3 linked regions of the Tribolium castaneum genome follow. Each later gene encodes a partner of the first gene's protein in a complex. Links are inferred from orthologs where the notes say so. Each region holds a gene or a part of one and is shown in the gene's direction. Other genes may lie near its edges. The genes, in order: armadillo repeat-containing protein 8, Hou and glucose-induced degradation protein 4 homolog.

The links.
Region 2: the proteins of armadillo repeat-containing protein 8 (region 1) and Hou are in contact, whole or in part, in a cryo-EM structure (PDB 7NSC), measured with the Homo sapiens proteins. The link is inferred for Tribolium castaneum from reciprocal best matches to the Homo sapiens genes ARMC8 and GID8. Residues at the interface, in NP_001350870.1 of Homo sapiens: Asn45, Val47, Ile48, Gly49, Asn50, Val85, Ser89, Met92, Arg127, Arg130, Arg161, Tyr162, Tyr166, Leu200, Ser201, Tyr202; in NP_060366.1 of Homo sapiens: Ile83, Ala84, Asn87, His90, Pro91, Glu92, Leu94, Asp95, Thr96, Tyr101, Tyr183, Glu184, Asn185.
Region 3: the proteins of armadillo repeat-containing protein 8 (region 1) and glucose-induced degradation protein 4 homolog are in contact, whole or in part, in a cryo-EM structure (PDB 7NSC), measured with the Homo sapiens proteins. The link is inferred for Tribolium castaneum from reciprocal best matches to the Homo sapiens genes ARMC8 and GID4. Residues at the interface, in NP_001350870.1 of Homo sapiens: Glu309, Pro310, Asp311, Val312, Asn371, Glu373, Arg406, His409, Arg413, Ser414, Val415, Gln416, Arg419, Thr420, Gln423, Asp424, Val444, Ser448, Cys451, Asn452, Leu455, Phe457, Ala483, Val486, Asn487, Trp490, Met493, Asn494, Phe497, Gln498; in NP_076957.3 of Homo sapiens: Leu104, Ile105, Pro106, Pro107, Pro108, Pro109, Ile110, Gln114, Pro115, Gly116, Val117, Ala118, Thr119, Gly125, Gln146, His147, Tyr154, Cys156, Tyr158, Phe174, Glu176, Phe239, Val241, Pro242, His244, His292, Ser293, Ala294, Pro295, Ile296.

Annotation. Positions count from the first base shown.
Region 1 is NC_087394.1:22,526,242-22,529,436, reverse strand, and holds the end of armadillo repeat-containing protein 8, read left to right. Parts: intron 1-1,534; coding exon 1,535-2,216; intron 2,217-2,268; coding exon 2,269-2,305; 3' UTR 2,306-2,674; downstream 2,675-3,195. UniProt on the Homo sapiens protein: Component of the CTLH E3 ubiquitin-protein ligase complex that selectively accepts ubiquitin from UBE2H and mediates ubiquitination and subsequent proteasomal degradation of the transcription factor HBP1.
Region 2 is NC_087398.1:12,054,346-12,058,476, forward strand, and holds the start of Hou (glucose-induced degradation protein 8 homolog), read left to right. Parts: upstream 1-1,266; 5' UTR 1,267-1,366; coding exon 1,367-1,484; intron 1,485-1,530; coding exon 1,531-1,727; intron 1,728-1,774; coding exon 1,775-1,972; intron 1,973-4,131. UniProt on the Homo sapiens protein: Core component of the CTLH E3 ubiquitin-protein ligase complex that selectively accepts ubiquitin from UBE2H and mediates ubiquitination and subsequent proteasomal degradation of the transcription factor HBP1.
Region 3 is NC_087399.1:1,123,873-1,127,153, reverse strand, and holds glucose-induced degradation protein 4 homolog, read left to right. Parts: upstream 1-1,271; 5' UTR 1,272-1,335; coding exon 1,336-1,482; intron 1,483-1,672; coding exon 1,673-1,840; intron 1,841-2,041; coding exon 2,042-2,338; 3' UTR 2,339-2,652; downstream 2,653-3,281. Other genes in the region: ENGase (cytosolic endo-beta-N-acetylglucosaminidase), read left to right, coding at 1-83; U6 snRNA-associated Sm-like protein LSm7, read left to right, coding at 508-534, 589-903; Rab40 (ras-related protein Rab-40B), read right to left, coding at 3,062-3,281.

The DNA of each region.
Region 1 (3,195 bases):
AAATAGCGGTTTTACATCATTAGTTTTAAAAATTAATAAAAAATAGAAATAGTGATTTTTTGAAGACATTGTTACTATGTAAGTGTTAAACAAGGTCTAACTGACATATTAAGTGGCTTTGATTGATTTGAATTATTACAGTGTGTTTACAATTTATTTCTAATATTTTTTTATTTTTAAAGCTTTTTATTTTGCTTATTTTAATTGGCAACCCCTGTTTATTTTTATACCATTCGATGGGGAATTAGAAAATGAACATTTTTTTTATTACAACCCTAACGTAAATCTTAACACATTCGGAGTTATTTGCCAAAAACCTTAACCATGTTCTACTTTTAATCATTAAAGAAATTTGTCATTAACAGAATGAGTTTTTAGCAAATAACTTTGAATATGTGAAGATTTGCAATAGGATTGTTATAACAAAAAATGTTTGTTTTTTAATTCTGGATCGATTACCATAAAAGTAAACGGCGTTGAAACCATTTGCGATATGTAATCATTAAAAGTGTCTTAAATTCTTGACAAAACAAGTTTTTATCAAATAACTCCGAATGTGTTAGGATCTATGTTATGGTTGTATTATAATAAGTTGATCGTTTTTTAATTCTGCATCGAGTGATATAAAAAAATAGGGGTTGCCATTTAAAATAAGCAAAATAAAAGGCTCTAAAATTTAAAAAGTTTGGAAATAAATTGTAAACACTGTAGTAATTCAAATCACCCAAACTCACTTATAAGTCTGTTAGACCTTGCTTAACACTTACGTAGTAAAAATGTTTTCAAACAAGCACTGTTTCTATTTTTTATTAATTTTTGAAACTAAAGGTGTAAAACCGATTTTTTTGTTTTTATTTTTTTAAACAGTAATGTCTGAACCGAGTTAAAAAAAATTAGGGACATGTAAGAAGCTAAAAAGGTATCATAATGAGTACAAAAAAATAATAGCTTACCATTAAAAAAGATATTACTATGACGTCATACTTTTTAGGGACACTGTACAGTCAAAAATATTTTCCTGAAATGTGTCCTAGAGTATAAATACCATCTACAAAATATCAAACCTCCAACTTTAATAATAAGTGAGCTATAGAACGCGGTAGCTGAGCTGGACCACCTGTATTTGCTAAATAATAAATTTGTCATTTAATTGTGGCATAATACATATTTTATTTTTAAAGAAATACAAAATAATCATATGGGAAGTAGTTTTTTAGTGCCCAAAATAATAGTTCTTACAACAATGCAGCTTAGTAGATGATCAGTCTGCAGTAAAATGCAAATTAGGTTTTCCTGCGTTTAAGCTGTTTATTGTTCACTTCTTTTCACTTTTAAAAACATCGGAGTTGTATGAAATCCTAATTTGCATTTTAGTGTAGACTGATAATCTTCGCTATTTGGAAGACGGACAGTTTGTGTATAATTTGAGTGTGATTAAAATTATAATTTTATGAATTTATACTTCTTTTTATAAGAACGTTAACATTTACGTAACAATAAATGACCATGCCATAAGAGAAACATTGACATTCAGGTTGCCCTTCGACGGAGTTGCTCACAGCCGCCTCGTCCGCCCTTTGCAACTTCCTCCTGGAATTCTCCCCCGCCAAAGAGCCCATGATCCAGCAAGGCGTCGTGCAGTTGTTGGCAACCCTGACCGTCCGTCCCGAGCCATCCCTTCGTCTGAACGGCGTCTGGGCTCTAATGAATCTCGCGTTTCGGGCAGAGCAACGAGTCAAATCCCAAATCTTAACCGCCCTCGGCACCGACCAGATCTTCCGGTTGCTGGGCGACTCGGACACGCGCGTCCTCATGAAGACCTTGGGGCTGTTGCGCAACCTGGTGTCCCCGCGGACGCACACCGACACCATGATGTCGCTGCACGGCCCCCAGGTCATGCAGGGCGTGGTGCTGGTGCTGGAGGGGCCGTATTCCCCCGAAGTGAAGGAGCAGGCGCTGTGCATCCTGGGCAACATCGCCGACGGCGAGAAGGCCAGGGAGCACATAATGTCGAACGAGGACGTACTTAAGAAATTAATCGGCTATATGACGCACCCAGCGCCCTGTTTGCAGCAAGCGTCCGTTTTCTGCATCGATAATTTGTCGAGGTTGGGAGAGCCGGGCTCTGTGGAGAGGCAGAATAAGTTAAAGGAGATGGGAGTTGTTAATATCCTCCAGCAGTTGTTGAGTACTTCTAATACGATGCTGTACAATCGGTGAGTTGGTGGTTGGTTAAGGAGGGCGAGCTGATTTTGCGTTCTGTTCCAGAGTTAAAACGGCGCTCACGCAGTATAATGATGTATGAAGTTTATTTACTGTTTTAAGGATACATGATCCCCCTATCTGATATTAATGTGATGTGTAGACTGACAAGTGTATATTTTGTTTTTTATTATTATTTTATTTGTAATTATTGTAGGATGCTGATTATATGATCCAAGATCTAATTATTATGTTTTACATCCTGGTTAAAAGCACATGACACTTTTTATTCGAGGTCAGTTAGGTACAATTGGAGAAGAGGATGAAAATGACAAATAAAATATTGACTCTGTTAGCATCGGTTTATGAATTTGTAGATAATTGTATAAACTTTACGCTTTTAGTCAACACTTTGGCTTTTGTTATCGATTTTAATTTACAGCATCATTAACAATAAAAGATTATTTATTTCCGTTTGTTTTTGGATTGCATTCTGTATGAATTACCAAAAATAAAGTTACTATTAACATTTCTGTCTTTTATTTTTGTTAAGTTTAATTTTTATTTACAAACAAAATGTATTCGGAAATAAAATTAACTAGACGCCCTCTGGTGATGACTTGAACTATGTTGAAAACAGTAACGAAATTTTCGTAATTCCACATTTAACTGACATTTAACGAATTGTTTAACAATTTTGCGTCTATAGTGTTATATACTTATATTAGAGAGTATCACGTACTTTTGTACGTGGTGGTAAATACTAGTTTTAATCTTGGTCTGCGGTATAATGTGTTAATTGTTGGAATTTGAATGTGGATAAAAAGTGAAAAAAAAATAAAATTTGATTACAAAGTGTTATTAAACAGTTGTCTAATTGCAGACTGTAAATAATGGATCACAGTGATCACAAAGTTGGGCTCAAGAAACCAATAAATTAGTAAAGTGTGTGAATTTTAGGTTAGAATTTTCCACTGACAAACTCATGAAATA
Region 2 (4,131 bases), on another chromosome or scaffold:
ATTTAATCAACTTCGGGATAGGTAATATAATTTGCCACTATATATGCTGTGTTTTTTTTAAATTGTTTATTATAAATTTTCATAAATCTTGTAAAAATTTTTGAACCAACAACACCTACTTCTTCGAAAGGCATGATGATTGTACTTAAAAAACGCAAAAAACCAAAACCAGATAATGTTTTTGCACGTCTTTTGACCTAATGTTATTATAAATTTCGTATTTTTCGCTCAGAAAGATTGAATCAGCTTCAAGATAATATAATATTCGATTGGATTTTCAATAGTTCGCATCAGGCCGCCAGTATGGACACAAGCACTTACTGCAAAAAAAACCAGCCCCGTTTTTAAAACTACAACAGTTATCTATCCCATGACTCCCTTTCGCAATATCCTGGGGACAGATCATAAAGGACAGCTGTTGGATTTTTTGGAAATGTCAATCTTAGATAAATATCAATTGCTAAACTGAAAAAGTGCGCTTTAATGAGTCATTTCGAGAATTCGTCAGTGGTCAGTTGAACCTTTTTGACTAAAATAAAAGTGTTTCAATTCAATATTCCTTATTTATTTCCATTCATTATCTCAATTTTGGTGTTTTTGATCTAGTAGATCGTCCAACATTACCCAGAGGGGTAGAATTCAAAGAAAAACTGAAGATGTGAGATGCAACAAAAACAAAGACAGACTCATCATGTTATGAATGAACATAATACACGTAATGATTGTTGTAAAAGTTGTAAGCATTTTGATTGGGCCGTTTGCGGTCGGCCATTAAAATTACGGAGAAAGCCAATCACTTTAGTTTTTTTTGATTCATTCAAAAATAATATTTTAGAATATGATTGGTCAGTTTAAGGTCGGCCATTATAATAAGGTAAGAAACCAATCACTTTGAATGTTTGGATTCATTCAATAATTTAATGCGAATGATTAGTTTTTAAGTCAAAATCGTGGTAAAAACACTGACAACAGCTCAACTCAGTTGCCACAATTTTTTTTATTTATTGTTTTTGTATTATTGGGTTGATTAGTTCCCTTTGCGACCAGAAACATTTTAATTTTTGAATTTGAGAAAATTTGGGTGATATTTAAACTGGCTGCGCCCTCTGGTAGACAGCGTCAGATAAAGCAACAACAAACAAAATCTGATAAGAAATGCATCACCTACAATTAAAAAAATATATTAGGAATACTTATTTGAGTTTATTGCAAAACAATCATAAAATGAGAAACAAATTTAGTAAGTTTGGGTGTGTGGATTGGCGGAACTGAGTCATTGACAGTAACAGACCGATGACAGTTCGTTTGTTAGACTAATGTCAAACCGTGTGTTATTTTTATGCCATAATAACAAAGAATCCAAGGGATGAGTTACACGGAAAAGCACGACGTGATGTCACGGGACGAGTGGATGGCCCTTCTTGAGGAGAACGAGATCGGCCGTGGCCAAATGAACAAACTCATCATGAATTACTTGGTGACAGGTATGTTGTCCCTTAAGGCACCAAAAACCTCAACTCGCGGTTCCAGAGGGGTTCAAGGAAGCCGCCGAGAAGTTCCAACAGGAATCGGGAGTAGTCCCCGCTGTAGATTTGCATTCTCTGGATGATAGGATTAGTATTAGGGACGCTATAATGAACGGGAAGATCCAAGAGGCGACGGCCTTAATCAACCAACTCCATCCAGAACTGTTAGACAATGACAGATATTTGTACTTCCACCTCCAGGTAAAGCACTGTGGAAGTCCACATCGGGGCTAATTTGACTCTTGCAGCAACAACACTTGATTGAATTGATTAGGAGTAACCGGGTTGAGGAGGCTCTAGCTTTCGCTCAGAGCCACCTCAGCGAAGCTGGGGAGGACGACCCCTCGGTGTTGCAGGAGCTGGAACGGACTGTAGCCCTTTTGGCGTTCGAAGACCCCTTGAACAGCCCTTTTGGCGACTTGTTGGCCCCATCTCACAGACAAAAGGTGCCCCCTTTTCAAAATTTACGCAAGCTAATGGGTGATATAAAAATTAAGTAGGTACTTTTAAGTATAAGATACCATTTACTTAAAAGTACCACTTTGAAATTGGCGAATTATCGCCTGAAAAGTTCGAACATTCTAAATATTATTAGTTAGCACCGATAGATTTCGAGAGTTACTGGCCTATTTAAAAAGCTTGTTTAGTGCTCGTTGGCAGAATTTTGGAAATAAAGAAACGGTTTTTTATAAGCCTGGACTCGCCCGGAATACTCCGGAATTAACGAACTTTTAAGTAGAAACGTTTGAGGATTCTAAACATTTAAAATGTTTTTATCTATGTCTGATAAATGTTTTGAGTAATACAAGGTGATTTACATGATTTTCTGACCCTGATACGAACTGTTAAATGCAACCAGTAATACATGTTTTGAGTAATACAAGGTGATTTACATGATTTTCTGACCCTGATACGAACTGTTAAATGCAACCAGTAATACATTACTCAATTAAAACTTAATTCAAAAACACTATTAATTATAAATTTGTTTGTGATTTGGATATCCTTGACAAACCTTAAAAAAGAGGTTATTGGTCCGTTTTATCCTCTATAAAATAACAACAGAGAACTCGCTTTCATAATCAGCTAACGCTTTGATCAACGTGGCATAATTTTAAAATTCGGTTAACCGACGACCGGTTTGTCTCCAAATTCGCCTCTAACTGATACATGGATTACTGTCTACAGCTTCCATAACTCTCACTATATTATCAGGATTTATTGCAGTCTGTGTTATTTTTGTTTTGGCCAATTTAGACACAGTTCAATCTCCAATTGTCTAAAAACTTTATTTTTCGAATTAAAGTTATATGAATCAGCCTCTATTTTTTTTTTATTAGAAAAATTTTGTATCTGCAGACGAATCTGTAACTAACTATTTACTCGGGTTTTTATTTGCTGTCTGGAAGACTTTAAATGTAGAGTCGGTATTTCTAGTTTCGTTTTGGACATCATAGTTCTAAAAAATGTCTTAAAACGCACCGAAATTAACGAAAAATCATCTTGAAATTTTGGATCTATCAAACTTTGTTACTTACAGCTGACAGTTTTCAGCTTATTAACGAACACACAAATGTGTTTCAATAAAAAAAATTAAAATGATAAATCGACTTTTGTGAGCCCACCGGATCATTATCATTTTCTTCTTTCATCAGGAAACACTTTCTGTCGAAAAATCATGAGTGATTTTATAAGTATATGCCAGTAGTCTTCAACCTTTTTACTTTTGCCTACAGTTTAAATTACATTTTCTTGGAACCCCAAAGCAAAAACCTATAATAATAGTATCTATGCATTATGTTAAACTGTTTTACCGAAAATAGTAAAAGTTCGTGTTGATATATCTACAAAATACATAATTGATTTTCTTTTAATGACAGATCATTATTTTTTTCTAAATTTAAATTTTGATATGGATTTTTTAATCCACATGTATGACAATACAGTTGACGGAAAAAAATGTTTCCTGCGAATAGGATAAATATTCAACATCATACAAACAATTTTTCTATAGCATCTTTAAAATCATTCAGTTTTTGAAAACATGTTAAATTGTTTCTATTTACATATGTTTTCCATAGATCAAGCTTCGATATCATTGCTCCAGTGCTGCTGTTAACTTTCAAAATATTTGATGTTATAATGAAATAGGTAGAAATAGTTACCTATTTCATTCAAAAGAAAAAAATGTGGCCAAGATAATAATTATGTCACTTTGTATCCAATTTCCAGAATCGAGCTAACGTTTCCACGAATTAGCCATCCTACTTTTAGGTATAAAAGTAATGCCTTATGTCTCACTACATAATTCCTCACAAAGTAGTTTAAATAACCGGAAATTTAAATAAATAAATAATTAAAAAGCATCACAGAACTCCTTATAGTGTTTCGTGGATCACATTTTGTTAGTTGTGTCTCTTTTATGAATAGTATCGACATGAGTAGAGTTTTATTTCTTTATGATTTTTAAGCATCTGCTAATAATACATAAGTATTAGCATCCGCTTATTGTTGCAAAACTATAAAAATGCCAACATCACATTTTCTTTCAAAATTAGGGGCCGGTTTATAGAAAGCTTCATTCATTAAATTTTAATTCGTAAAA
Region 3 (3,281 bases), on another chromosome or scaffold:
TGGAAATTGGATGTACGTTAGAGGAGGGAAAAGCGATTTATTTGTGCGGTCTTGGAGTCGAAGAGCACGTTCTAGTACTCTGACACAACTTTCGTGACCAACAGTACAAACAATTTTCTGCCATACTGTACATTTTGCCAGGGCTTGAAGCCCAAATAGTTAACATGTATTAATGCTTTAGTAACGCCCCAATGTGTAAATAACTTTTTTTGAATAAATGATAACCGAGAATTTTGCATTTTTCATTTGAAACTTTGTACCTCCACTGCGCAAGCAGTCCTCTACAAATTGTGTCCCAAAATTGCGTCAATTTTTACGTAATTCTTTAGAAGCTAAGAAAATTAATTACGAAATTGCTGGACTTTACAAACCGATAATTATTTTTTTTTATTTCAAAATTAATCGGAAGGTTCCGTGCGCATAGGAGACCATATGCACGCGTCACCTCCAAACGTATTCTAGGTTAGAATTTCAAAATCGGCAAAATTCCACAAATAAAGCCGAACAATGGCATCGTCAGGTGACAAATCAAAAGTACGTACCCCAAACTGCCCCATTTCGCCCCCTCAACCCCCATTTTTACCGTAGAATCAGAGCGGTGACCAAAAAGAGAAGAAACGTAAAGAGTCGATTCTAGACCTCTCTAAATACCTTGAAAAGACAATTAGGGTGAAATTTGCGGGCGGCCGAGAAGCTAGTGGTATTTTAAAAGGCTATGACCCCCTTTTGAACCTCGTCTTAGACAACACAATCGAATACTTGAGAGATCCAGACGACCCTTATAAATTAACAGAAGACACGAGGGCCTTGGGTTTGGTGGTCTGTAGGGGCACAAGTGTCGTGCTCATATGCCCCATGGACGGCATGGAGTCCATACAGAACCCCTTTATATCCCAAGACTAAGTTTTGTACCATAAAAATACCTCTAATTTGTAAGACGTTTTTTTGAATAAAACCGGTAAAAAATTAATAAAACTGTTTTATTGCACAAACTAGCTCAATAAATTAATTAGAAGTTTAGTTATAATGAGCGTAAGCAACCACCAATGCTTATAACCAAAAGTAATTAAAGCGTACACACAAAAAACGTGTTAATTACGCTTGAGATTAACGAATAATTGCCCCAAATAATAAATCTGGGTTGATTCAGTTGATTGCAAAAATGGGTTTTTCTGTCCAAAACTACGGTTGAGTACAGTCGCCCACACATTTAATGGCCCTGTTGCGCACCGAGCATGCGCAAAAACGCTCTGACCGACTCGGATGACTCACCGCCGCCATTTTCCTTTCAAAAAAGTGACATTGGTGACAGTTGAGTGCAAAAGTGCTTTAAAAATGCCGGTCAGGGTGGATATTACGCCTCCCCCGCCGGCCAATTCAAAACAGCCGGGGGTAACAAAGTCCCTCTTATACAACGGCTCCAAATTTCAAGGTTTCCAGAAATCGAAAGGCAATTCGTACGAAGTGGAAGTGGTTTTACAGGTTAGAAGTTGCAAATAATCGCACCATTGCCCCCCTTAACCAAAATTTCGATGACTTTGTACCGTTCGAACCCTTGTAGGACGTGTGACGTCCCTTTTGCTCACCGCTTATTTAAAGAAAACTAAAAATATCAACATATGCTAATGCAATCCGAAATGGCGGGAAATTTAAATTTCGCTCGTTTTTCCAGCACGTCGACGAGGAAAACTCCTATTTGTGTGGCTATTTGCAAATTAACGGGCTCACCGATGAGTATCCCACCTTGACTACGTTTTTCGACGGCGAAATTATCAGCCAAAAGTACCCGTTTTTGACCAGAAAGTGGGACGCCGACGAGGACGTGGACAAAAAACACTGGGTGAGCACCCAAATCTTTGTTTTTAGCACAATTTCAAAAATTACAAGTAGCCAAGCATCGCAGCTCACTATCTTATAATTATTATTTTCACAATCTAGAAGGCGCCAACCCAAATGTCAACTGTTAATGGACAGTCACAGCTTACTATCTTAATATATTTTTTTTTGTATAATTATTTTCTTAACATATCTCTTGTTGCAGAGCAAATTCTCGTCGTTTTCCCAATACGCCAAAACGTTCAATTCGGACAATTTCGATTATAAGGCGCTCGGCGACACCGACTATGTTTTTATGCGGTGGAAGGAGCATTTTCTTGTTCCTGACCATACGATTAAAGACATAAGTGGGGCCTCGTTTGCCGGTTTCTATTACATTTGTTTTCAAAAATCTAAAGCCACAATTGAAGGTTACTACTACCACAGAAGCAGTGAATGGTTTCAGTCGTTAAATTTAACACATGTGCCTGAAAATAGTATACAAATTTATGAATTTAGGTGAATTGGTTGAGTGAAAAACTTGGCTTATTTCAGTACTGCATGTCCTCGTTCTCTCTCTCTCTCTAGCGAAGTTGATTTTCACAGTATTTTTCAATAAGTGTACTAGTGAGCAGTATTTATTCATTATTTTTGTGTACATAATTATGGGTAGCTTGGTTTTAATTACTTCTTAAGAAAACGACTGGGTAATTGATTTAGTTTCACGTTTGATTTGTATAAATTTTTGTTTATTTAGCTTAAGTAGACTAAACAAGTCATTATTGTTATGTATATTGTGTATAAATGTATTAAATATATTTTTTTGAATTGTTTTTACCTTGCTGTTTCATTGGGGGTCGAGGAAAACACACCGTTAGAAATTATTCAGTACCAGCTATATTATTATTAAAATACACTTCATTAAACAAAAATAGGTGACACTATTTACGTAACATAAAACTGTTAGTAAAAAGTAATATAAATAAAGTAAAAAAAGTACAGGTTAAATTATATACAAATGATAGGTAACACAAAAATTATATACAACAACGTCCAACTCAAGGTGCAATACTGACTTATTCACTAAAATCCTGACAATTATTTACACTGATTACCCGAACTAGGACGGTTACGCAAAAAACTGCCTCAACTAATATTTGAAAAAATTACATTCTCTCCTTGATATGTCGATATACCAACCAATTTTGTACAATATCACAAAACCAAAACACACGTACAACAAATATCAAGATATAGTACATGAGTTTCTCGGCACACAACTCGTTCTCGTGTCGCTTCCCGGTGACGTTGGCGTACTTATAAAGCGTAGTTTACGTCCGTTGCTTTTTCTTTGACTGTGCGTGTATTTGAGTTGGGTCGAAGTGGTCGTAAGGGCGTATGATTTAAGGTAGGATTTGACGCAAGTCGGCAGAGGCAGCTGCTCGATGCTGTAAACTGTGGTGCGA